Linked DNA regions of Oryzias latipes. The protein of the gene in region 1 interacts with the protein of each later gene in a pairwise test. Links are inferred from orthologs where the notes say so. Each region holds a gene or a part of one and is shown in the gene's direction. Other genes may lie near its edges.

Region 1 (3,996 bases):
TTCTTCTGTATGATCCCTTTGCATCCATGTAGACTGTAATGGCTGATAGTTTGCAAACAAACTGTATTCCCCTTTGTACCTTGTAGCTTACAATGACAGAGTATTAGGACATCATAGGAAATTCTACTCTAGACTTGCATGTACTGTTGCTATGCATTTCCTTAGCTTACAAGTTAGACAAAGCTTTTTGTAATTTTTATACATCATGTACTTTTTTACTTGTCTCTTAATAAAAGTAATCTTGTGCTTTTTTCCGCAAGTACCTTTTTATGAGTTATTCTTGTGTGTGAGGACCTCTGCAGTCACTTTCAGCTATGATAGGGAAAAAAAGTTAAAAAAAAGATTTAACATTTTATATATTTTAACAGACGATTGTAGAAACAATATGAGAAAACAGCTTCTATGAAATGCAGATAAACGACAGCAAAATGCTATTTTTTTCTCACAGATGGTTCATGTGTGAATATTTAAATTTAGTTTTTTTTCGCCATGTGGTGGTGTGAAAAGCATTTAGTTGGCGCACACCAAGGAGACAAGACATTTGAATAATCTCAGAGGATGAAATGCTGCTGCCTTTTAAACCTGCAAAGGTTTTTCTAGACAATCAATGTAACAGTTAAAACTTTTCAAGGCACGAAGCCTTGAAAGGTAGACTCTTAAACCTAAATAATTGGGAGTATGTGAAATTTTGAGACACACTACTGGATGTAAAGTAAATATTTTTGATAAACTTTATTTTGAAAAATTATATTTTTTTAAGCTTTCTAAGTAGGTCATCATTCTATTTCCCCACTTAAGATACAATTCTTTCCTGATTTCATGAATAAATTTGACAACTTTCACATTTTACTGCTGCGACAACTAAAATTGTTTAGATTTGAGCGAGTTTCAGACTGCAGAAACAAGTTGATGAAAAAATATCTTTTGATTGCGCGATGCAATAACATTTAGAATTAAATTAAATCAAACTAAAATAATTAAAATGTATATCAAGGAAAACGGCTTTAAAGTTTTACAATTGCCGAGTCATTTTAAGCCGTCGTTCATGACTGACACCACAGTTTCATCATAAAGTTTTACTGAAGGTTAACTGAAAATGTATGTTACATTTATCCCGTTTATATTTAAGAGTAACGAAATTGAAATCATTGAGTAAAATACGCAAGTGTCATTTTTGGAAAACATTTTTTTTACCGGAAATGCTGGTCTTGTGACCGGAAGTCGACATAAATGCGGAAGCAAATTGTCTGTTTTGCAGTCAGTTGTCGAATATATTTTATTTATTTTATCAAATAAACCAAAGTTCAAAATACATAAACTGTTTCTTCTGAGGTAGGAGACGTGATTTTTCTTTTCTAGTTTATATTTTTGCGTCCGAGTTCATTTAAATAACCGTCCAGGCAGTAGCATAGTAGTAAACTATAAAATACATAGTTTCACGGTTTTTCAATTCCATGAATTGTATAAATTCTGAATTAATGAAGATTTTCAATTGCAGCTTTAAAAAAAAATCATGGACGAGCCCACAGCATCTGGCGTGTTCTGCAGCAGAATGCTGAGTATGGTTAACTCTGAGGACGTGAACGCTATCATCCAGGCTCAGAGACACATGTAAGTTCCGTGCTGTGATTGATCTATTTTTTTTTGTTGGGGGGGGGGGGGGGGGGGTCTGTTTATGTGGGAGATTTGCTGCTTTGTGAAATGACTGTTGAGTTTAGAAGTAAAGTCTTTTGTCTTTTCTGTCTATTGATTGTGGAAACAGGCTCGATCGGTTTGAAAAAACCAACGAAATGCTGATAAACTTCAATGGACTGTCAAATGTGAGGCTGCAGCAGATGAATGACCGCTTCCTACTCCACACCCGCACCCTGGTAGAGATGAAGAAAGATCTGGATAGCATTTTCAGAAGAATTAGGTAAGTCATTACACCTTAAGAAGGTGTATTCAATTATCTATAAACCTATTGACACGTTCATATCTTTATAGAATAGTGTGATGGTAAACCCTGGCCTCAGGAGATCCAGGGTGGAACCCAATTCGATTCCCCAAAGTGTGCTTTAAAGTTAGCACAAGCTGGTGGAAACTGGAACAAAACATCTATGGACAAACATTCAAAAGACAACAAGAGTGGAAAAATCCAAATCAGTCCTTAAGTCTGAGAGGCATGTGGAGTACTAATCATTTGATGATATAACAAACAGTCAATATTACAACAGGTACTAGTGAATACCTCTCTAGCAGTAGAAACTGGATGAGGAAGAGCAGGAACTATCCTGAAAGTCTTGCAAGCTTGAGGGAAACCACCACTCAGGGTCAGAAGAGAAAACTTATGTGGAATATGCACATTTCTCATGATTTGTCTCTTCTTTTTCTTAGGACTTTAAAAGGGAAAATTGCCAAACAATACCCAGAAGCTTTCACCAGTAAGTTGAGATTTTGACTTTTTTTCCACTAACATCTAATATTATGTTCCTTTTCTACCAAATCATGCACCCCAAAAGTGTTTTCATAAGACGTTTTTGTCCCTTTCAGATATCCACGAGTCACCAATCTCAGAAGATGAAGATGACGAATTTGACCCAGTTCCTCCAAGCGTTGCTACAACAACCACGACAGCCACTTCAGAGCAAAGCACAGAATCCTGTGACACAAGTCCGGATGTGATTTCACCCACTGTGAGCAGATGTTCTGAGGACCTCTCTCAGGAGCCACCTGACACACCCACTTCTGATGTCCAAGAGACAGCAGTTCTTCAGGATGAGGGTCCTGACTCTGTACCTGCTGAGTAAAAGCAACAGAATGGACATAAAGTTCACAGGCCATGCTCTGTGTTTAAACAAATTCTTTTTTTAGTGGGTACATCTGTTTGTTAAAGGTCAAGTTTCTCTTTTATTGTCTAATACTGACTTGATGTATGTCTGCATAAAATGTAAATAATGGAAAAATGCTACTTTACTTGTGAAGCGTTTGAATATAAAAATATGTAAAAATTCAGGATCCAAAGGCTTCAATAATTAGGTGACTGTAGTTTTCTTTTCTTTAAAAAGATGCACTTTTGGCCGAAAACTGCATTCTTAAATGCACAAGTTTAAGGATCTCAATTTATATACTAATAGCTGAGAGTATTATTCAGACTTGTCTTGTGTTTACCTTGTTAACTTCAGTGTTTTCCTAAGGTTACTGTTGGCACATTAAACAGATTTCCTGTGGGAATAGAAGCTTGAAAATACACATTATACATGTGTATTTGCATGTCATAGAGACTGTCAAGAAGGAAAATCAACAACACAATACATTTATTAATATAACCAATAATATAATTATTTTTTTCTAGTAAGTGCATTTTGGATTTGGATCAAAGGATAAAAACTTAAAATTTACATTTTAATCCAAGTGTTCAAATTTTTGCTGAACTCTTGTTTTAAACGGTAAAGGCAGGCACAATTTAATTTAAATGCAAATAAATGTAAATTTATTTTATGACCGTAATTATTAACAACATACCATGATTATTTTTTAAATATCTGAGATAGATGATTTTGTTGGCATTGCTTTTCAAAATAAAAGTTACCCGTTTATGCCCTATTGAATTCTTAAATGTGGAAAGGATCACAGTTGGGGAGAATTAAAGACCCACTCTGATCATCTTTTGATCTATTGTAAAATCATTCCCAGTGGTCTTTTAATTATGACTATGCTGTTCTTAGGGAAAATCAAAGAAGCTGTGTAGTTTTCTAGGACATACATTTCTGCAGAGCTTTTCTGGGTTGTGGGCATGACTGTTGGCGGGGAGTAAGCCTTCCCTCATTTCCCATCATCCGTTTGTTTACACTCTGTCCAGCTAGCTTACAGCCCCTCACAACTCCAACCTAACATTACTGGTGCAACAAAAATGGTGAGCAATATCGGAGCTCTCCAGCAGTACAGTTTTGAGCCAGATGTCAGCTCAGACAAGGAAAACAAAGACATTAATGGATCTATCAAGCACCTACATCA
Region 2 (4,104 bases), on another chromosome or scaffold:
TGGAAATGTTTTTGCCATTTGTTCATGTATCTAAAGTTGTATCGTCATTGCAATATTGATCACTAATATCGCGAGTTTTCCTCATATCGTGCAGCCCTAATTTGGATAGTTTACATTCTTATTTGTGTGTGTGTGTGTGTTATGTTTATTCTTTCCTTTTATGGTCTATATTTTATGTTAGGTAATGGTTATTGTTATTCTTTGTCATGTTTATGTAGTTACTGTTGTTCTATGTAAGGTAACTCAGTTGTTAATAAAGTTTTTTTCTTAAAGGGCCTGTGGCAGATGTTGCCAGATCAGGAGAATTCGAATCAGGAGCAGGTGAGAAAAAAGCTAAAGGGGCGGGACCAAAGCTCCCTGCTCCGCCCCCTTCTGGTCAGACAAATAGATGCATGAACGTCTCTTGGTCTGAGCTGTAATCTGGATCAGAACCACACGGCTGGATAGATCTGATACTCTGCTGCTGTTTTTATTTCCCCACTAATGTTAGGCTGGGGGGATGTGAGGGGTTTTAAGCTAGTGGGAGAGAGTGTAAATAGATGGATGACGGGAAGTGGGGTGTGCTTACTGTGTCATTGGCTGTGCAAATGGTCCCGCCCACAACTCAGAAGTGAATTTCTACTGACTTTCTGCAAAAAATGTACTAAAAAAAACAAGTTTTTGGATTTTGGCTAAAACCAGCGTAATAATAACGAAAGGACAACAGGGAAGACTTTGAAAACAGGTCAGATGATGATCGGAGTGGCACTTTAAACTTTTCAGCTTTACATTCTCTGTTGCCTTCAATCCAAACTCTTGGAAATATGGCAGAAAAAAAGATTTCTAGTTTTTGAAGGACATTCCTGAGAAAGAAGCTCAAACAAACCATAAACCTATCAGGTGTTCACAGTTACACTGCGCTATTAGCGGAATATCACCTGGTCTGAAATCAGAGCTGGTGATTCCCAGCGGACCCCAAACGCAGCAGGGCGTCAGTTACCTAACACGCCGCTGGCGGCGCTATCCAGGGTCCCTCCGTGGCCCATCTTCAGCCACTGCTTCTTTCTTTTCCGGGGGTTGGGGGTCTCCACTCCCGCTTCTTAGAGGATGAGGAAACACATTTCACCTGCAGCTTTATTTGGTCTTCCGCTCGTTTCTGTTGTTTTGCCCTGGTTACCTTTGAGCAAGGCTTCTTTGAGCGCGTTCAGCACGTCGGCGGATGTCGGCCCTTTCTTCTTGTAGATAGCAAACATTCCGTGCAGAGACTGCAGTTTCACCAGAGAGCTGCTCACCTTAGACGCCGCGCTGCTCGTGTTTCCAGCCATGCCTGGTTCCACCTGCTCTTCTTCGGCCACAGAATTCTGTGCTCAGCGGATGATGGTGTCTTATTGTCGCCTCCTGGCGGTGGATTAAGGTAATCGCAACAGTTTTGTTCTTGCCTTTGCGGTCCGGTTTTTATGACGAAAATAATCATTTAAAAAATATAAAACTAGTTATTATTTGTAAAAGTCTTTTTTTCAAGATGAAATTATAGTTAATGTTAGTAAAAGAGAGACAGAAAAATTTTTTCAAATCTCACTACGCTGACCATGATGCTTTGCGCGGATCACACTTCCTGGTTACTTGAACGGCTGGTTTCCTTCATCCGTCAGATGGTAAACACAGTAATCATCAGGAGACGCTGCATTCTGCCTGCTGGGGTCTGTTTGATGCTATTTTGTAATTTCTTCGGATTTCGTACCGACAAACATTCGAGAAAACGTCTCGCCTTTCGGTTTTTGTGTGGATCATCTGTTCGAGTCCCGCTTCGCGTCTGCCGCCAGACAAACTTTCAGTGGGTCTTTCTTAGAAACCATCTTCTAGCTCTTCAACAGTCCGTTTAGGAAGTGAAATCACAGTTCGCTTTGAACGAATTGAAGGGTTTTGTGCCAACTTAGAAAAGTTTCTGCTAACGTAGCCGTCCAGCTTTTTGCCCTGAAGCCCCCGTTTTCAAGTCTGAGCTCTTCATCACTTCATCTTCATCAGGCGGGCTGAAAAAAAAACGCTGAACATGAAACTACGGTGGCCCTGAGGTGCAAACCAAAAATCATGAACTCGGGGTTAGGGATGCTGGAAGGTCTCAGGTCCAAGTCACGTGGTTTTGGATGTGGGTTCCGCTGTCATCTGAGGAAGTCACGTGGAGGATGGAGAGACATGCATTTACTGTTTTATGAAAACTTTATTTATAACTCAGGAACAGCTCTCACAAGCTCCAAACCTTTCTGCATTGGAGGCTAGCGGCATCTTTGACAGGACTTTTGCTGCCTTTGACCAAAACTAAGCTGAAGTCTCTGTTTTTCTTTTTTGCTGCTCGGTAGATGGGCCCCTGAGGACCAAAGACGGCTCTCTGTGCTCAGATGATCGGGACTGTGGAGACCAGCGATGGAGGACTCCAGGGGGTTGTACCTGCGTCTGTGTAAGGAGGGCGGCGTGGAGCCTCAGGAAGGGGTCCTGGATCAGCTGCAGGAGGGTTCCAGGCTGGATCTGAGTGGACAGAGCCTGTCTGCAGACACCTGCTCGGTGCTGGCCCGGGCCCTGCAGGACGGCGCTTTTACGCAGGTGTCGCTGAGCGACTGCATGCTGAGTGAGGAAGGTGTGTTTGACAGCACCCGCCTATGGGGGCTACTGTTAGCCATAGGATTATGACAAACACCGGAAAATCAAACTTTGAATTGCGTTTCTTAGTATTTATTTATTCAAATTGCTGTGAATCAGGAGCAGACCAAAAGATGCTGCTGAAAAAAGAAATAATTAGTGATGTAGAAAATACACTGGGTGGGGGGCGGGGCTAAGGTCTCCCTGCTCCGCTCCATTCTGATCATCCACCTGCAGAGAATGAAGGTCTTTGTTTTCCTGGTCTGAGCTGGAATCTGGATCAGAACGGGACGGCGGGATAGTTCAGATATTGCTGCTGTTCTTGTTGTCCTACTAATGTTAGTGGGTGAGGGGGTGTAAGGAAGGGGGAGAGAGTGTAAACAGATGGGTGACGGGGAGTTGGGGCAGGCTTACTTGATTCCAACAGTCCCGCCCACAATTCTAGGTGAATTTCTAATGAGCTCCTGCTGCTCTGCAGAAACTGTTGCGTCCGAATTCTCACCTGAACCCCTAAATGCTAAAAAACTATGCAGTGTCCTGGATTTTTAAAGCAATTCTGACACCAAGCTCACTCCTTTTTTTTTTTTTAAACGGCAGATATGATGTCATCGATTTCATGAAGTTTAAATTTAATTAATATGAGCGTTTTGCAACAATCATTTATGAGTCCACTGTCTTCTGAGGATAAAAACATTGACGATTTATTTAAAAAAAATTATTTAAATAAATCTTTTTGGGGAAAAAAATGTTCCGACGCAATGCATTGTGGTCTATGTTCTCCGATCTAGTGAGCACCGATGCACACTGGTTTTCCAGAGCACTGGATTTGGAATTGTAGATTCAGACAGCACTAGAAAATGGAGAACGCTCTATATAGGGCACTATGTAGGGCAGGGGTGGGAATTTGGACATACAAGGTTTTTTTTAGATTTTGGTTAAAAACAGCATATTTCTACTTAACTGGGAACGCTTTGAAAATACACTAGAAGATGATCAAGGTGGGATTTTAAGTTAAAGTAGTTATTATAATTTAACTGAAAGTTGTTGTTTTTTCATGTGTTGTCCTTTAATTGTTGATATTTTTGACAAACGTGACCTCATTAGTTTTTTGTCTTTGTGTCTGACCTTCAGGGGCCAAAATCCTCCTGAGTGGACTGTTTGGCAACACCACAGTGAAATCTCTCGACATGAAGGTTTGTCAAATGATGCTGAACACCTGACGGACGGACGGATCGGTTGACGAAATGCTTCTGTCCACAGGGGAATAACCTGCGGTCGGCCGGAGCTGAGGTGCTGGGAAAACTGCTGGCCCGCAACAAGACCCTGTGTAGGTGAGAGCCGCGCTCCGACTGTCCTCTGCTAGATTTCTGCCTCTGATGTGTTCAGACACGTCCCCAGTCGGTGCTCGGCCTGCGGGTGGAGCACGGCGCTCCTTTCCCAGCTCTTATGGAGCTGATGCTGGTGTTTCTAGGCTGGTTCTGGAGTGGAACG

The links.
Region 2: the proteins of kxd1 (region 1) and lrrc45 interact in binary tests that used the Homo sapiens proteins (3 or more experiments, as listed by UniProt). The two-hybrid records come from large-scale screens. The link is inferred for Oryzias latipes from reciprocal best matches to the Homo sapiens genes KXD1 and LRRC45.

What each region holds. Positions count from the first base shown.
Region 1 is NC_019864.2:21,181,592-21,185,587, forward strand, and holds kxd1 (kxDL motif-containing protein 1), read left to right. Parts: upstream 1-1,196; 5' UTR 1,197-1,332; intron 1,333-1,498; 5' UTR 1,499-1,513; coding exon 1,514-1,611; intron 1,612-1,762; coding exon 1,763-1,915; intron 1,916-2,376; coding exon 2,377-2,423; intron 2,424-2,532; coding exon 2,533-2,789; 3' UTR 2,790-3,577; downstream 3,578-3,996.
Region 2 is NC_019877.2:23,060,562-23,064,665, reverse strand, and holds the start of lrrc45 (leucine-rich repeat-containing protein 45), read left to right. Parts: upstream 1-1,304; 5' UTR 1,305-1,393; exon of another isoform or gene 1,394-1,410; intron 1,411-1,568; exon of another isoform or gene 1,569-1,679; intron 1,680-1,692; exon of another isoform or gene 1,693-1,813; intron 1,814-2,336; 5' UTR 2,337-2,400; coding exon 2,401-2,611; intron 2,612-3,744; coding exon 3,745-3,806; intron 3,807-3,873; coding exon 3,874-3,944; intron 3,945-4,084; coding exon 4,085-4,104. Other genes in the region: trub1 (probable tRNA pseudouridine synthase 1), read right to left, coding at 980-1,078, 1,157-1,304. UniProt on the Homo sapiens protein: Component of the proteinaceous fiber-like linker between two centrioles, required for centrosome cohesion.